4 linked regions of the Saccharomyces cerevisiae S288C genome follow. Each later gene encodes a partner of the first gene's protein in a complex. Each region holds a gene or a part of one and is shown on either strand. Other genes may lie near its edges. The genes, in order: NIP100, ARP1, ARP10 and JNM1.

The links.
Region 2: NIP100 (region 1) and ARP1 share a complex: the UniProt entries of both Saccharomyces cerevisiae proteins name them as parts of the dynactin complex.
Region 3: NIP100 (region 1) and ARP10 share a complex: the UniProt entries of both Saccharomyces cerevisiae proteins name them as parts of the dynactin complex.
Region 4: NIP100 (region 1) and JNM1 share a complex: the UniProt entries of both Saccharomyces cerevisiae proteins name them as parts of the dynactin complex.

The regions. Positions count from the first base shown.
Region 1 is NC_001148.4:218,442-224,485, forward strand, and holds NIP100 (Nip100p), read right to left. Parts: upstream 4,333-6,044; coding exon 1,726-4,332; downstream 1-1,725. Other genes in the region: phosphatidylinositol N-acetylglucosaminyltransferase SPT14, read left to right, coding at 189-205, 306-1,647; mitochondrial 54S ribosomal protein uL24m MRPL40, read left to right, coding at 4,702-5,595; COX10 (protoheme IX farnesyltransferase), read right to left, coding at 5,912-6,044. UniProt on the Saccharomyces cerevisiae protein: Motor-binding component of the dynactin complex which assists cytoplasmic dynein by increasing its processivity and by regulation of its cargo binding.
Region 2 is NC_001140.6:361,906-366,458, forward strand, and holds ARP1 (actin-related protein 1), read right to left. Parts: upstream 2,249-4,553; coding exon 1,094-2,248; downstream 1-1,093. Other genes in the region: FUR1 (uracil phosphoribosyltransferase), read left to right, coding at 210-860; YHR130C (uncharacterized protein), read right to left, coding at 3,060-3,395; YHR131C (uncharacterized protein), read right to left, coding at 3,435-4,553. UniProt on the Saccharomyces cerevisiae protein: Core component of the dynactin complex which assists cytoplasmic dynein by increasing its processivity and by regulation of its cargo binding.
Region 3 is NC_001136.10:664,839-668,946, reverse strand, and holds ARP10 (Arp10p), read right to left. Parts: upstream 1,944-4,108; coding exon 1,089-1,943; downstream 1-1,088. Other genes in the region: TMS1 (Tms1p), read left to right, coding at 2,177-3,598; SPO71 (Spo71p), read left to right, coding at 4,037-4,108. UniProt on the Saccharomyces cerevisiae protein: Pointed-end-associated component of the dynactin complex which assists cytoplasmic dynein by increasing its processivity and by regulation of its cargo binding.
Region 4 is NC_001145.3:855,321-858,688, forward strand, and holds JNM1 (Jnm1p), read left to right. Parts: upstream 1-1,645; coding exon 1,646-2,767; downstream 2,768-3,368. Other genes in the region: glutamyl-tRNA(Gln) amidotransferase subunit HER2, read right to left, coding at 79-1,473; GSR1 (Gsr1p), read right to left, coding at 2,977-3,368. UniProt on the Saccharomyces cerevisiae protein: Component of the dynactin complex which assists cytoplasmic dynein by increasing its processivity and by regulation of its cargo binding.

The sequences.
Region 1 (6,044 bases):
TTTTCATTGAATAATCTCATTCTGCTATTTTAAGTTTTTCGTTTGCAACCCGAGACTGTCGAGCTAGAAAATTTCATTGATACGATTTAAAAATAATCGATGCCAGTAATAGCCTCAAAAAACTTATGCAAAAATACGAGATACTATAAACTACAGCTTAGCTAACTCTAACATTATTATATAAAACAATGGGCTTCAATATAGCGTATGTCTAGCTCACAGCATGTGTTCCAAATACATTAAAGAAGATCTCTTTTGTTGTTGATACTAACCAGTAAAGTTGAGAGTTATAACAATGAAAATAGGATGCTGTGCGACTTTTTTTATCCACAGTTAGGTGGAGTCGAATTCCATATATATCATTTATCGCAGAAACTAATCGATTTGGGCCATTCTGTCGTCATTATAACTCACGCTTACAAAGATCGAGTCGGCGTACGACATCTTACCAACGGTCTAAAGGTCTATCACGTACCATTTTTTGTGATTTTCAGAGAAACCACTTTCCCCACTGTTTTTTCAACATTTCCAATAATAAGGAATATTCTTCTCAGAGAGCAGATCCAAATTGTTCATTCTCATGGTAGCGCTTCCACGTTCGCTCACGAGGGAATTCTTCATGCTAATACTATGGGATTGAGAACTGTGTTCACGGACCATTCACTCTACGGTTTTAATAACTTAACGTCGATTTGGGTGAATAAGTTGCTAACATTTACCTTGACAAACATAGATCGGGTTATATGTGTTTCTAATACATGCAAAGAAAATATGATTGTTAGAACAGAATTAAGTCCTGATATAATCTCAGTAATTCCCAACGCAGTGGTGAGCGAAGATTTCAAACCAAGGGATCCTACTGGTGGCACCAAGAGAAAACAAAGTAGGGATAAGATAGTGATCGTGGTCATCGGAAGGCTCTTTCCAAACAAAGGGTCCGATTTACTTACTCGCATAATTCCGAAAGTTTGTTCCTCACATGAAGATGTCGAATTTATAGTAGCGGGCGATGGTCCAAAGTTCATAGATTTTCAACAAATGATTGAAAGTCATAGACTACAAAAACGTGTGCAACTCTTAGGCTCTGTTCCACATGAGAAAGTCAGGGATGTATTATGTCAAGGTGACATATATTTACACGCTAGTTTAACAGAAGCATTTGGTACAATTCTAGTTGAGGCCGCATCTTGTAATTTGCTAATTGTAACGACACAAGTCGGAGGAATTCCCGAAGTGTTACCAAATGAGATGACTGTTTATGCAGAACAGACATCCGTTTCTGACCTTGTTCAAGCAACAAATAAAGCTATCAATATCATAAGAAGTAAAGCTTTGGACACTTCCTCTTTTCATGATAGCGTGTCTAAAATGTACGACTGGATGGACGTAGCCAAAAGGACAGTAGAGATATATACTAATATATCTTCTACTTCTTCCGCTGATGATAAAGATTGGATGAAAATGGTAGCAAATCTTTACAAAAGAGATGGAATCTGGGCTAAACATCTTTATCTGTTATGTGGAATTGTAGAGTACATGCTTTTTTTCCTCTTAGAGTGGCTATACCCCAGGGATGAAATCGATCTAGCTCCAAAATGGCCCAAGAAAACAGTGTCTAACGAGACGAAGGAAGCAAGAGAAACTTAAACTTTACACAAAACAAAGGAATGTTGTATCCATTTATTTACTGTATTTGAATGTTATAGACCTGCTAGAATCACTCAGTCATTTGTAATATGTAACAACATTTTGAGATTTGAGTCGTATATTTTTCCTCTTGCGCTTTAAATACGAAATGTAAGAATGATCTCTTTCATGCCAGAGTTCATCTTCTGCCAAAGGTTGATCAAGCTTTAAATCTAAAATCCGTGAGGTACTCACGAAGTTGAACATTTCTATCCCCAAGGTGTCCAAACTGTGGTTGATATGTTCTTTGAATGGTTGCTTATTTTCCACAGCTGGAAGCTCGTCTAACCAGCTGAAATCGATGCTCACTCGTTTCTGCTCTTTTATTTGTCGTCTTATGGTTTCTCTCAATTCCATGATTTCCGAAACTAAATTTACTCTATCTACTTTCTCTCTGTCTAAATAAATTTTGTTCAACGTATTATTATCCTTTATTTGATATAGTTTGAGCTCCATATTCTTCAAACGGTTTACTAGGTTGAAATTTTCTTCTTTCAGCTTGTTAAGAATTTCTGTTTTGCCACAATTTTCCTCATTTTTGTTATTTAACTCTACTTTGAGTGTTTTGATATTCTCTTCAAGGGTTTTCCTCTCTAAATCCCTCCCAATAATAATTTTAATTTTTGTTTCCAATTCAGTTAGCATATTTTCCTTTTGGACCAGTACTTCTTTGAGTCGAATGTTCTCTTCATTCAAGCGATCGCTTAATAACGAGTTTGAAAAATTGCCCTCCTTAATATTACATTGACTTTCTGAATCACTTGTTTGTTGACTGGGTTGCTCAGGAAATATAGTTATGTTTTCTAAGAGACTTTCTATTCCTTGAAAAAATACCTCTAGTTTTTTCAAAGAAGAAATACGTTTGTAATCTTGTCGCAAAAACAGTGCATCTGAAAAAAGTATCGTTAAGATAGAGGACAGGGTTATATCACAGGAAGGATATAAAAATAACCTATTGTCTTGTTTCGAAATTTCTTCCTTTCCGATAAGTTTATCTATTCTGGCAATAAGTGAAAGTGATCTCTCGTAAAGGGAACCAATAAGACATAGGGTATCATTGTCATTGAAATTGCTGTTCGTTCTAAGAAAAGCCAACAGCTTCGGAACAGTTGTTTCCAATATCGGATGAAGTATTTTTAGTATCAAGGTCACATCCTTATCTAGAAACTTATTATCTTCTAAAAACTGACAAATGGAAAAGGCGGTTTCCTGTTTAGAAGAAAACTTCCTTTGCAAAAACTCGCTTAGCCACATCGAAATCGGAGCAATATTTACTTTGAAACATTGTAATGTCGTTTCCAGGTGATCGGGAGTATTCTTTATGGTGTAAATATGAAGCGCATAACTGATAGAGCTCAACACTTTTAGAATTATATGGATTTCAATATTCTCCAACTTTCCAAAATTTTCACTTTCGATTACTTCGGCTAAATATTGCAATTGAGAGGAAAGAGCCGCCAAATGTGGTTGTGCAAATGGCTCATATATTTGGTAAAATTTCTTTAGCAATTTATTTTGATATAATTCCTCCTGTAAAGTGTTCACTTTTAGTTCAAGACTTTGAAATTTGTGAGATGTTTTGGCTTCAATAGATTCCAATGTTGCTTTTAATCTTGAATTTTCTTCGATATATGTGCCTGCTATCTCCTTTTCATTTTCCAATGCAGATTGCAAATTACTTAATTGCAGTCTCAGTTCTTGCTCGAGTTGCTCATAGGTAATTCTTAAATTTTCATCCAATTTTTCTTTTGCCTGTAGTTCCTCCAACTCATTGTTTAAAGCCTTTATATTACTTGTGAGTAGGATATTATCATTAGTCAATTTATCAACAATATTAGATGATTTACTTTGAGCTTCAATCTGCAAGGCAAGGTCGCCGATTGTATTATTAGTCTGTTGCAATTGCAGACCTAAATCCGATATTTTTTTAGATAATACTGCATTTTCTTCTAATAACTGAGTATTCTCCTCGAGCAGGTCCTCTTGCACCTTCATAGCTTTATCATATGACAACTTTGTTTGGTCGAGTAGTCCCTGAAGAAGATGGCTCCTTTCTAACAGTGTGCCTTTGTCGAGATCCGGTGCCATTACACTATCTGAAGCATCTAATAGGTGATTGAAATTATCCAAATGAGTTTTCATATTACCATTTTCCACTTTCAGTTCTTTGACTAGTTTATCCAATCTTGAGATTTTAGACAATAGAACAGTTTCATTAGTACTCAGCTTTTCAACGGAAGTTTTCAGCTCATGATTTTCTATTTTAATTTTATTTAATTTGGACGCCAATGATTCACATTTTACTTGTAGATTCTTAATTGTTTCTTGCGCTGCATTACCATTTAGCAAACTATGCTCATCGTCATCTGGTTTATAAAACTGCAACGTATCTTTCTTGCAGAAAAGACCATAATAACCACCATTTGAATTAGCTTTCTTCAGGTCGATATCAAAGTAACGAATACCGTTAGCGCTTCCATCATTCTTTCCTAACGGTTTATCTAGTTCAATGCCGTACCATATGCCTTTTGCAAATTGAGTTTCCCCAATGAATTTCACCCGCCCCTTCATCTCGTTGACTAGAACTGTGTCCTGTAAGCTTATCTTCTGCATATTTGTGTCAACTTGAACACCTGCATTGCGCATTTGTCCAAGGCTGTACTGCGAGGTTGATGGAGATCGAATCTAGAATAGTATTATGTACTTTGCAAAAGTAAAGTACAACATAAAGTCTAGCAGCATATGAGTAACTCTCTACAGTTACGCCAACAATCTCAGTGTGGAGGTTAGAGTAAAAAGAAAGCACCTTACAACTGTACGTTTACATAAGTGACTTTTCAACATATATGCATTTTTTGTTAAGCATTGTAAAATACCCGGTTGAAAAGCGACATGAAAAATAACGACATGTTAGATTCAAAAGTACCTACTGCTCTTTAACAGCTACTTAAGGATTACCTGATAAGAGTAATCCACCGTAAAGAACATTATCAGCAACAAAATTTGTAATCCATCATGTCTGGAAGCTATCAACATTTATCAAACGTTGGATCGCGTGTTATGAAAAGATTGGGGAATCGACCCAAAAACTTTCTTCCTCATAGTGAAAAGTTCATTAAAAAATCTACGCCTGAGTTCATGAAGTCAGATTTAAAGGAAGTAGATGAGAAAACTAGTTTCAAGAGTGAAAAAGAATGGAAGTTTATACCTGGCGACAGAGTAGTAGTAATGAGCGGGGCTTCCAAAGGAAATATAGCTGTAATTAAATCTTTCGATAAAAGAACAAATTCATTCATATTAGATGAGAATGGGCCCACAAAGACTGTTCCAGTTCCTAAACAATTCTGGCTTGAAGGCCAAACATCTCACATGATAACAATTCCAGTTTCAATTTTGGGAAAGGATTTAAGGCTAGTTGCTGATATTGACGATGAAAAGACCCCAGGAAAGACAAGAACGGTGGCAGTAAGGGATGTTTCCTTCAATGGTTCCTACTATGATGCAGACTACAAAAAGGTAATGCCATATAGATGCGTAAAGGGTCAACCAGACTTGATCATTCCATGGCCTAAACCAGACCCAATTGATGTGCAAACGAACTTGGCTACCGATCCTGTAATTGCTAGAGAACAAACATTTTGGGTCGATTCCGTAGTGAGAAACCCTATTCCAAAAAAGGCAATACCAAGTATTCGCAATCCTCATTCTAAGTACAAAAGGGGTACCTTGACAGCGAAAGATATAGCTAAGCTAGTAGCACCTGAGATGCCCCTAACAGAGGTAAGAAAAAGCCATTTGGCAGAAAAAAAGGAGTTGGCTGAGAGAGAAGTACCAAAACTAACTGAAGAGGACATGGAAGCTATTGGGGCGAGGGTTTTTGAATTTTTGGAAAAACAAAAAAGAGAATAAATGTACCAAGTGTATGCACTCTATTTTTATATTTGATTCTCTAGTGTGATTTTTTTAATCAGTATATCCCCTTCACTATTCACGTAGTAAATAAGTTATATTCGACCTGTATATATGAAAGCATAAAGTAAAGTTCAAAGAATATTCAGATATTGATGTGGGCAAACGTGATGACTTCAAATTACAAAATCTTTTCTTTAAAAATAAATTATGTGCGTATGTACATTATTTTTAACCAATAAAAGGGTTTAAATATTTATTTACAAGATTAATGACTGCCCTTTAAGCGTTGTCTCTTTATCTCATTGTACTAATGCTAAAATCGTTCCTGTGGTCGCTTTGCTTCACCAGGATATATCCAATCCCAGCGGCCTTTTTTATGTATAATGGCTAGGATTAGAATTGCCGGTAGGTGCAATACACTAGCCATAAAAGTTTTCCTTGCATAA
Region 2 (4,553 bases), on another chromosome or scaffold:
CAAAATTTTTTTTTTTTTCACTTCTTCTTTCAAAGCTGCCTCAAAAGAGATATATATATTGGTAAGAATCCTCTTCCAATACTAGCTTCATTTCTTCTTGAACCATGAACCCGTTATTCTTTTTGGCTTCTCCATTCTTGTACCTTACATATCTTATATATTATCCAAACAAAGGGTCTTTCGTTAGCAAACCTAGAAATCTGCAAAAAATGTCTTCGGAACCATTTAAGAACGTCTACTTGCTACCTCAAACAAACCAATTGCTGGGTTTGTACACCATCATCAGAAATAAGAATACAACTAGACCTGATTTCATTTTCTACTCCGATAGAATCATCAGATTGTTGGTTGAAGAAGGTTTGAACCATCTACCTGTGCAAAAGCAAATTGTGGAAACTGACACCAACGAAAACTTCGAAGGTGTCTCATTCATGGGTAAAATCTGTGGTGTTTCCATTGTCAGAGCTGGTGAATCGATGGAGCAAGGATTAAGAGACTGTTGTAGGTCTGTGCGTATCGGTAAAATTTTAATTCAAAGGGACGAGGAGACTGCTTTACCAAAGTTATTCTACGAAAAATTACCAGAGGATATATCTGAAAGGTATGTCTTCCTATTAGACCCAATGCTGGCCACCGGTGGTAGTGCTATCATGGCTACAGAAGTCTTGATTAAGAGAGGTGTTAAGCCAGAGAGAATTTACTTCTTAAACCTAATCTGTAGTAAGGAAGGGATTGAAAAATACCATGCCGCCTTCCCAGAGGTCAGAATTGTTACTGGTGCCCTCGACAGAGGTCTAGATGAAAACAAGTATCTAGTTCCAGGGTTGGGTGACTTTGGTGACAGATACTACTGTGTTTAAATAAATCACACCCGAACACCATCTTGAAGGTTCAGAACGGCTGAAGCCGCATATCAACTTTTGGTTTCTACTGTTTTAAATTTCCTTTCTCGTTTTAAACCTTTGTTGCCGTCTCTTCTACTATCAATTTTGTTGTTCATGCATGTTTAATTACCTTTTTTTGTAAAAATAATATAAACGTATCAATGGCTATTTATAACAAATATGCTTGAAAAATCTAACGACTCTGTTTCTTACATTAGGTTCGAATAAACACGGGTACTGTCCTCTAGCCAATCTGACTTTTTGGTCCAAAGTCTTTGAAAGGTAGATAACCCCGTTAAAATAGAACCACCAATCCATGTAGTATATTTTCTTTCTGAAGGGGCTATAATCTTTATCTTGGATGTTCCTTTGGTTAATGCCTCCAAATCCCATAGCATTCGGTCTCCAAAGCCTTTAAGCGTTGTAGTTCCGCCACTTAGGATTATCGATGACAGTAAAGGTTTCCTTAAATCCAGATCGACTTTCCAAATAGATTGCATGCACATATCAGATAATCCATCGTACCCTAAGCCGATGATTTGAGGTGAAAATAATATTTCTGGAGCACGATATCGATCATTCCCCACCTCTATACACCTCCCGTCGGGCAATTTGAATGTCGAGATTAAATCTTGAGTACCTTGTAAGTATTTCTCCTCTTCCTTTTTAATATTCTTGGCCAAATAACAAACTTTCTCTTTCATCGTGCGAACAATCTCTCGTTCACTGCTGGAAAACAACGAAACACCAGCTGATTTCCGTAGTTGAAATTGTAACTGCTCTGTGATATCTGCTCCTCCAATATCCATCCTCATCATAGACGCAGGTAATGCAAAGCCGTCATATATGGGAACAGTGCTACAGTATCCTTCACCACAGTCAACTACACAACCTGTAGTTCTCCCACTAGCATATAATGACAGAACAGCAGGGTTTGAAACGTACAAAGCCGATACGTCAAAGGTCTCGAACAATACTTGAGCCATCTGCTCTCTATTCTTCAAAGGATTCATCGGGGCTTCCGTAATTAATAAAGGATGCTCACCTATATTTTGCAACTGTAGGACTTCATTTAACACATATGACCATATTAGTTCCATAGAATCCCAATCTTCCACCACGCCGTGCTTTATGGGGTATCGTAATTTTAATAATCCACGCAGTTTTTGGGCATTGTTTCCAATAAATGTATCTCCTTGCAGACCTTCGAGCATAACTTTATCATATTTGGTATTTCCTACGAGACAATATTCCAGTGCTTTAGGCCTTTCCTCACCACTAAATCCTGCTTTTATGATCCCAGAACCATTGTCGATCACTACCGGTTGATTGTACAAAGCATAGCTGTCACTTAGCTGGTCCATTGGCTAACTTTCTTTCTAATTCCTCAATTCGTGGTATAGCATTAGCATGTACTCCTTGGTCTATGCCCTTTTATTAATTTGCTGTTTTATTGGGAATATCTGCTATTTGCTTCGCTATTATTCAATAAAGGTGTTTATCATTATTGATGTGCATCGCGAAAATGGCCACTTTGGAAATGAACTTTTTCTTGAAAAGATTAATACAAACGGAAAAAGAGAAGGCAATAGGAAACTCACCGTCACACAGGTGTACTGTGTCCTTTGCTTTGAGCTCTTGTTCAGAACATTATGCTACTTAGCATTCTTTTATGAGCTTTTTTCTGTAGTCTTATTATAGGTTGATGAAAGCGTTACCTTCAAGAAATGATTTTTAACGTGGTATAATAAACACTGTTTATCATGGTAAAACAGGTATTTCTTTTATTCTTTGGAATTACCAGACGATACCCATTCAAAATTCAACTTCTAATCAAACGTTGATCAATAAATACTGTATTATGTTGCTTGTTTGAAATTAGAGGCATTGCCTTTGTTAAATTGAAATATAAACTGGAAAAATGAAGCGAAAATAAAGTACTGTCTATAAACAAAAACCTTAAAATGATTAATGTTAACCTTTCTGAGCAACGAAGCAATCCATACGTATTGAAAGCTTTAGCTCTTGGAGTACGGTGTCGAGAAATCGAAGTAAGACCTAGTAGAAAATCATTAGTTTGTATAGACTAGTCAATGACAAAGTAATAGTTGAAAACAATACTGTCTTAGTTCGCAACCATTTATATATATTTAAACTTATTTTTTACAGCCCTTGCTAATTCCTGATGCCAAGTAACGAGGGGCAAATCATCTGAGTATATACGTACATATACATCAATGATGCCAATCGGAAATGCTTTAACATTTCTGAAGAATTCTTTAAAAGGTTACTATTTTTACTCAATTCGAGAAAATGCAAAATATAATTACCCACTTTTATGTAAACATCGGTGTCAAAATCGTGAAATATACCGAATGATAATGTTGAAAAGAAACTCAAGTGCAAAAGAAAAAACACGATCCAAAGTGTATAGAATGAAATAAAAAAGAAATAGAAAAACTCCTCATCATGTAGCATATATCCGATGATAATATATATACTTTTAGTCATGATATTAATTCTGCAAAAACAAGATTACTGCATCACAGCTTATGCAGTAATCTGTCCATCATCATCGTCATCGTCGTCGTCATCATCATCATCATCATCATCGTCGTCGTCTTCGTCGTCGTCATCATCATCATCATCGTCGTCGTCGTCATCATCATCCTCACCATCATCACCGTCACCGTCGTCCTCCCCATGATCTTCAGCGTCCTTTGTTGTTCCAACAATTGCATTCTTATTTTTACAATTAAGTTCTATCAACGCCGTAGGTCCCACGATGAAGCCTTTTAAAAAATGATTCTTCTGCTTCTGTAAGCTCTGGCGGTTGCTAAAGTGAATTTTATTACTTGTTTCAAAGGTTGGTCCCGAAACTGGAATATAGATAACCTTACCCAAACAGTCGTTACTATCTAGAAATGGTTTGATGCACTTCAGAGAATCCCTCAAATAACGCCTTCTTGAAATTTCCTTAATAGCTGGTTTCCATTTAATATCATCCGTTCCGTAAGGTATATTGGAGAAGCAACTTAGAGTAGAAGATGCTCGCCTTCGATTTCTTATTCGTTCTTCAATTAAACATGAATAATCACTTTCACTGCCATAAGCATAACCAATATTACTGTCATCAGTATCATCATTAGTATCATCGCCAGCATATTCATCGGTTTCACCGTCATTTTCGTCCTCATCGGTCTCAGTAGCGCTTTCATCGTCATTGATTTCAGCGTCACGGTTTGTGAGACATAACGACCTACTGCTTTGGGATAAATCTGTGGCGGATTCCCCATTAGGAGCTAATCCTGATAGGTATATCGAAGAGCTTTGAGGTTTAGGTCTAATAGATGCCTCATCCCTTTCATTGGCTACCAAATTCGACGCAACACTCCGTAATTCCTCTTTCATAACCGCATTTTGTGATTGCAGCATAATCTCGCAGCCATCAACGGAAAGATGCTCAATAGGAGAGGGTGAATGAACTGATTCACCCACTGTGCTATTTGGAAATTTGATGGGGACAACCTCCTCGCTAATTGCACGCCTCAATGACTGTCTTTGGGGCATGGAAATAGCTCTATTTCTGTGCATTGGACGCTCTACTTTAATGGTGGTATTTACTGGAACACCAGGCTCTGGATGATCTCCCCCGCTTGATTCATGGTG
Region 3 (4,108 bases), on another chromosome or scaffold:
TTTTTGAGAAGTGTTTTACTTCGCAATGCATTTATATCCTATATGTCCTGGCAAACTTTTTGATAAATTGGAATGCAAGTTTTAACGCGTTTTTATGTAGCACTAATACACTGTATTGAAGATTTTTTTTTCTTTCACAATTTGGAAACGATTATATTGGATATATATTAGAAGTTTTCCTCGAGGATATAAGAAATCCGCAAAAGGGAATCAACAATTCTATATAACAACATTATTCTCTCTCCGTTTATATTTTATATTAAATTCATTATCTTATTAAATTATCAATTCTTGCACTTCAGCTTCCATTAAATCCGATAATTGTTATGAAGTCTTCTAACAACTCATTCGACATTAATAATAAAGAATATTATTCGATATATTTATTTATTTTTATTCCGGCAATAATAAATCTGAAAACGAGTTACTCTTTCAAATGACATGATAGTTATCAAATCCAAATTCTTTAGGAGAGTGTGTAATTAGGTGAAATATTAATGGTTAACTTTCTGTTGTATTACGGGCTCGAGTAATACCGGAGTGTCTTGACAATCCTAATATAAACAGTCTTAGGGAAGTAACCAGTTGTCAAAACAGTTTATCAGATTAATTCACGGAATGTTACTTATCTTATATATTATATAAAATATGAATCATACTAAGTGGTGGAAGCGCGGAATCTCGGATCTAAACTAATTGTTCAAGCATTTATACGTTTGGGTAGTTCAGCTAGGGAAGGCCGTGTTTTATCTCATGTTGTTCGTTTTGTTATAAGGTTGTTTCATATGTGTTTTATGAACGTTTAGGATGACGTATTGTCATACTGACATATCTCATTTTGAGATACAACACTTTCGATCCAAATTGGTCTCTTGGCCCAGTTGGTTAAGGCACCGTGCTAATAACGCGGGGATCAGCGGTTCGATCCCGCTAGAGACCATTTTTATTTTTTCTCCTCTATTGTTAAAAATAGCTCTTTACTATCATAAACTTTTACATCAAAAGCTCAATAAGGCTAATTGTTGTGGAAAGACGCAGTTTGGTGAAGAGAACACTTCCTGTTTTTGTTTTCTACATATACATAAAGCCTATTGTAAGCGCTTCACTCCAGTTCTGAAGTAATAATCAAACCAATCAGGAGCAATATGAGGATTGTTATAAAACTCATCTCTTTCTATTCCTACAATGTTGCTCCCCTTATAGTGCAGAAGTATTTTCGCGCATGCAGAACCAGCCTGCCAGTAATTTTTAGGAAACTGGATTTTGGACGTATCCATTTTTAACTTGAATAAATTCCTTATTACTGTTTCATACGCCTCTTCAATGTTTACTATAATGATATTTTCTCTCAGTGGCCTTCTCAAGTCGATAGGAAGTGACTCTACAATATTTTTGACAAGATTTATTACCGGGGTTTCATCTACTTCACAATTTTTAGAGTTGTATTCTTCGTCAAAAAATATTGGCATGTAGAGACTGCCCGGGAGAGGAATTCTTGACTCAACCTGTCTTTTGCCTCGTTTTGAGTATTTTATGAACTGTTGCAAAGGTCTAAGGTCGAAAATAGGTACGCATGTAGTATAATTGGTACCTATATCTATAACTATGGCATTCCTTGTATTACAGGATAAGCAGTGCACAATGGCCCTGGGGACAAACGAAACGTGAGCGCAGTCAAATTCCTTAAACAAGATGCTACAAATAATTCTTTTCTCTACTACAGAAATGAAGATATCTTCTAGTATCAACACTTGTACTTCTCGATTTCCCAAGATGTTGCAAATTTGGAAGTAATGTTCAAATATTTTTTTCAATTCTTCCCTATTTTTTTCATTAATACTACCTGTTTTCCAGGCGATAATTTCTTGTGGACACGCATCAGCACTTCTTCCAATTTCGATTCTGTTAGCTCCCAAATAGACTATCACAATAGTATTCGACATTTCCTCATAGGGTTTCCTGGGTAGATTTTTTTTATCATTTCACAGTGTCGAATATTGTAGTATTTGTACCTCTTTTGTTTATGTCTCTCGGCTACAATAGAAGTTCCGACAATTAGATTCTAACAAAAAAGAGAACTGTTTTTGAGGTCTTTATGCCCCCAAAACGAAGTTTATAATCAAACAACAGATTTACTTCATATCAAAATACCCATCACAAAGTACAACAATCTACCATGGGTGCCGTAATTTCTTTGCCAGTTAGCATGGCGGGCTCATTCGTGGCGTCCTGTTTTGGAGGTTGCTGCTCAAACTTGGTGACTAAGACTGCATCTTCCCTAGGATCTTCTTCTTTAGGGACAAGACTTCTGTACGCCGTTTGGCTTTTACTTAACTCATTGATATCATGGGTGTCCTATTCTGCGAACAAATCAATCCTATGGCCAGGGAAGACATGTACTGGGACTGGGGAATGTGGATTTTTTACAGTTCATAGGTTGAATTTTGCATTGGGATGCTTACATTTGATATTGGCGCTTGTACTAACGGGCGTAAAGTCGACTAATGACGTAAGAGCAGCATTACAGAATTCGTGGTGGAGTTTAAAATTTATACTGTATTTATGTCTCATTGTTTTGTCATTTGTCATCCCCAATGACTTTTATATTTTCTTTTCCAAGTGGGTGTCAGTCCCTAGTGGAGCAATTTTCATCCTGGTTGGGCTTATATTATTAGTAGACTTCGCTCATGAGTGGGCTGAAACGTGTATTAGTCACGTTGAGTCAGAAGATGAAGATTCCTCATTCTGGCAACGATTTTTGGTTTTAGGGACAACTTCAATGTATACCGCATCGATTATCATGACTGTTGTTATGTATGTTATGTTTTGTCATCAACAATGTAACATGAATCAAACAGCGGTAACAGTCAATTTAATATTAACTGTTATAACGCTTGTCTTATCGGTGAATCCTAAGATCCAAGAGGCCAACCCTAAAAGTGGGCTGGCCCAAAGTAGTATGGTTTCTGTTTACTGTACTTATTTGACAATGAGTGCCATGTCTTCCGAACCGGATGACAAAATGTGTAATCCGTTGGTTAGATCTAGTGGAACCCGTAAGTTTAGTATCATTTTGGGCTCTTTATTTACTTTTATTGCGATTGCTTACACCACAACTAGAGCCGCTGCTAATAGTGCTTTTCAAGGCACCAATACTAATGGTGCTATATATCTCGGGAATGATATCGAGTACGAAGGACTAGGTGGACAGACAAGAAATCAGTTGAGGTATGAAGCTATTAAACAAGCTGTAGAAGAAGGATCTTTACCGGAAAGTGCCTTATATGATACCGCTTGGTTAGGGACATCATCTCCTACAGGCGCAATGGATAACCAAAATGATGATGAAAGGACTGGAACCAAGTACAATTACACTCTGTTCCACGTTATATTCTTTCTGGCAACCCAGTGGATTGCAATTTTACTAACAATAAACGTTACCCAGGATGATGTAGGTGATTTTATACCCGTAGGAAGAACATATTTTTATTCTTGGGTAAAAATAGTTAGTGCATGGATATGTTATGCCCTTTACGGTTGGACAGTGGTAGCCCCAGCGATTATGCCCGATAGATTTGATTACGAGAATTACTATTAAATAGACTAACACAAAAAGATTTTCTTATAATGTATGTAACTTTTTTTTAAGTAGCCCCCAGTAGAAACACTAATTTTACTATACTCATGCACTAGTTTCAAGAAGATGAGTAAACCTCCCTCAAAAAAAAATGGATCTTAATTATCTAATTGAGATATCGCTTCTCGAGGATTATTTTAACTATCCTCTATTTATTTGAAATGCCAATTACAGTTATTATCGATCGACCGTTTTCGAAGGATCTCTTTTCTTCTTTTAAAGGTAGAAAACATTCTCTCAACCTTCTTTATGCGATATTCGGAGTTTGCGCCGTGCTTCAAAGATATGGTAAAACAAAATCATTGTGGCTAAAGAAATGTCTGGTGAAAATATCAATAACAAAAGTCAGCATACAGTGATTGTAAAAGAAAGGGATTTGTCTTCGAAACATTTCGAAATATGGATTCTATCGTTAATGTTGTTGAAGACGATGTTAAGTACGCGCAGAGAGTGACTAGCTTCAGCTCACCA
Region 4 (3,368 bases), on another chromosome or scaffold:
AGATTAATTTTTTCGAACTTTCTATAGGTATAAAGTAAAAATAATAATATTTACATGATTAACGTTGTCCTCACAAATTTATGATATTGACTCGACAAAATCTAACACAGTGGAATCATCACCATATTGACCTACTACCTGTAAGCCAATCGGGGTCTTCTCTTTTAAAGGCATTGATAAACTTGGTAGTCCAGCCAATGACATTGGGACAGTAAAGACATCGTTTATATACGAGTTAGCCGGAGATTTGGCTTCCTCTTCTTCGAAGTCCCTTATGGATCCAGGAAGCTTGGACGATGTGGGAACTATCAGTAGATCTAGGCCGTCTGGATTTCCCTTAGAATTAGTTAAAACATTTGGAAATCTGAAGATCCCGTCAAATTCATCGATCAAATTAACTCGTAGCTTTTCTGCCTTAATAAAATTGTTCTTAAATGCATCTGAACAAAGATTATAATTACCTAGAATGATTCTATTCTTAACTTCTGTTCCGAATTTGGACCTAGTAGGTGCGAATAAAATACCGTCTTTTATATCGAGTTCTGAATCTCTGTATCCATATCTGATACCATCATACCTTGATAAATTGGAAGCCGCTTCAGCGGGTGATAGCGTATAATAAATCGGTAAACAGTTTTTTACAGATGGAATGGATACAGGGTATATTTCAAGCCCTAAATTTATCAGCTTTTCTAGTAAGGATAAATATAATCTGTGGAACCCAATGGGCATACTTTCATGGCTAAATTCCTTTACAATTCCTACCTTTAAAGGTCTCCTAACCTTTTTATTCCCTTCTATCAATTCACGCAATTCCACACTTAAGGAAGTGGGATCTTTCATGTCATATTTATCGAGCGTATGAAATACTTTTCGCAAGACGTTTATCTTTTTGCTAAGTATGCCAACAGTGTCTAAAGATTGAGAATACGCTATTACGCCAAATCTTGACAACCGTCCATAGGACGGCTTGAATCCTAAAACAGATCCATAGCATGCGGGGAGCCTAACGGAGCCACCAGTATCTGTTCCCAAGGCAAAATCGACTAGATCGCAAGCAACGCTTGCAGCGGCTCCAGACGATGAACCTCCCATGATCTTCTTGTCCTCATGAGGATATAAAGGGTTAATTACGGGCCCTCTTATTGAATGTACTCCCCCAGAACCCATTCCAAATTCATCTAAATTTGTCTTGCCTAAGATATGCACTCCTGCCTGTTTTAATAGTTTCACTACTGTTGCATCGAAGGGAGACTTGAAATTCTCAAGTATATGTGAGGCACATGTGGTTGGAAAATCTTTTGTAACTATATTATCCTTGATACTGGCAACGCAACCTGTCAATGTTTCTTTTGTACCTTTTTTATTTGTGATTGAATAAGGAGATGGATTGATACTAGTGAAAATATTATATTTTGATTGAAAACTAGATAATCTTTCGATTGATTCTTTTAAGGAGCGTTTCAGTGGCATTTTTGTATAATCAAAGTTAGGACTCCAATTGAGGGGCCATCTTTCCAGCACAAATAATAGTGTTTACAAGTATAGATGTACTATTACTTTTTTGGGAGCCAATGCATTTCAAAAAAAAAAAGAAGAGCAGATAAGTCATGAGGCTAAGAAAGATAAAGAAATCTACTGGTTGATGAACGTCATAGATTTAAGTGATCCTGCCATCAATGTGGATTATGATAGCTTGATTGGCATTGACAATGAGGAATCTCAAGAAATTTTTGAAAATGAAGTGAAGGAAGATGGACAACAAGAAGAGCAGGAAGAAGCATCTTCAAGAAAAGATGGGCTCATCGTTGAACCAGGGAGAGATGTTGAGAGTTTGAGAAGGGCTATTCGAGATCAGTTGCTTTTCAAGATACATAGACAAAACCAATCAGACTGTGCAGATGCGAGAAAGTTGAGTAACGATGAAGAAGATGAAAGTCGGCAACAGAAATTAGAAAGAATAAGAGAAGAATTGGAGGAGTTGAAAATAGAAAATTTAACATCTGAAATGCAAACTGAAATCAAGGAATTGTGCGAAATTCAATCAAAATTGGCGACGGAATCATCTAGTAGATTGACAAATTTGAGGAAGAAGCTTCTCGAAACATATGAAGGCCAAGATACCGTCATATTGCCAAACATAATTCTTGATACGAGTAATATCAAAAGATTGCAAAAGTTAGATCAGAAAATATCCCTAATGGAACGTTTTGTTGGCATACCAGAAGCTTTGGAGGCAGAAGAAGATAGGAAATCGGTTCATAGTAAAGTCAATGAACTATATAGAAGTATTCAACTTTTACAAGGCGATGATAAGGCGGAAGGAAAGCTGCAAAAGTTCCGGGATAGACTCGTAGAACTGAACGAGGAATTTGAAAACTCATTGTTAGGCAAGAAAATACAACAGGACTTGAGGTTGAAAGATGACACCGTGAGCAAGCTTGTTATGCCCGAAAACAAAGTAAAGGAGATAAATAGTATGTATTCCATGTTCAAGCAATATCAAGATTCACTACCACTGTTGGCGGAGAGGATGAAAAGTCTCAATAAAATGAACAACAGGGTGATCGAGGTGTACGAAACCACGAAAGGGCTGGATTCACAAATAACCAGCATCCAAGAACAAGGAAAAGTTTGGCTAAAGGCTTTAAATGAGCTGGATAAAAAATTCGATGAACAAGAGGTTAAAATTCGCGAAAATATGGAGCAGATCAGGCGTAAAATTGATACCCTCGAAGACGAAGCTCTACAGAGAAATAGCAAATAAAAGGCGGAGAAATAATTTTATAAACCAATTTAATTTCATTCTTCATTTTTTCGTCTCCATATGACAAAAAAATTGAAAATATGTGTGTGTATGTATATATAATAATAGTAATAATAACAATATGAAATATGAAATATCCAAAATAAGAGCGGAAAACAGAAATTATCATAAAAAAGAAAAAAATAAAGTCTCTAAAGGGTATCAAGCGCTTATTTCTTCTTCATTCTACCAAACAATCCCTTCTTCTTCTTCTTTTGCTTTTCCTCAGTCTGTACGTGTTGTTGTGGCTGATACACTGCTTGTTCACCATACATTTGACTGGAAGCACCACCCACTTGCTGTGGCATACCGTTCGCATCGTAAGTCACAGCAGCACCAAACACAGGGAAATCAGGTCTTACGCGGAACCCGTAAGTTGGAGTCTCCAACTGTTGGGCCCAGACCGGGTCTCCGGAGACAGCATACTCGAAACTTCTTATAGTGTCCAAAGGTCTTTCGTCTCTTGCCCTAGTTGGATTCGATATATCTGCCTGTGTGATGGGTTGACCGAAAACATCACACAGAACATGACCTTCTTCGTTGGAAAAATAAGATTGTCTGT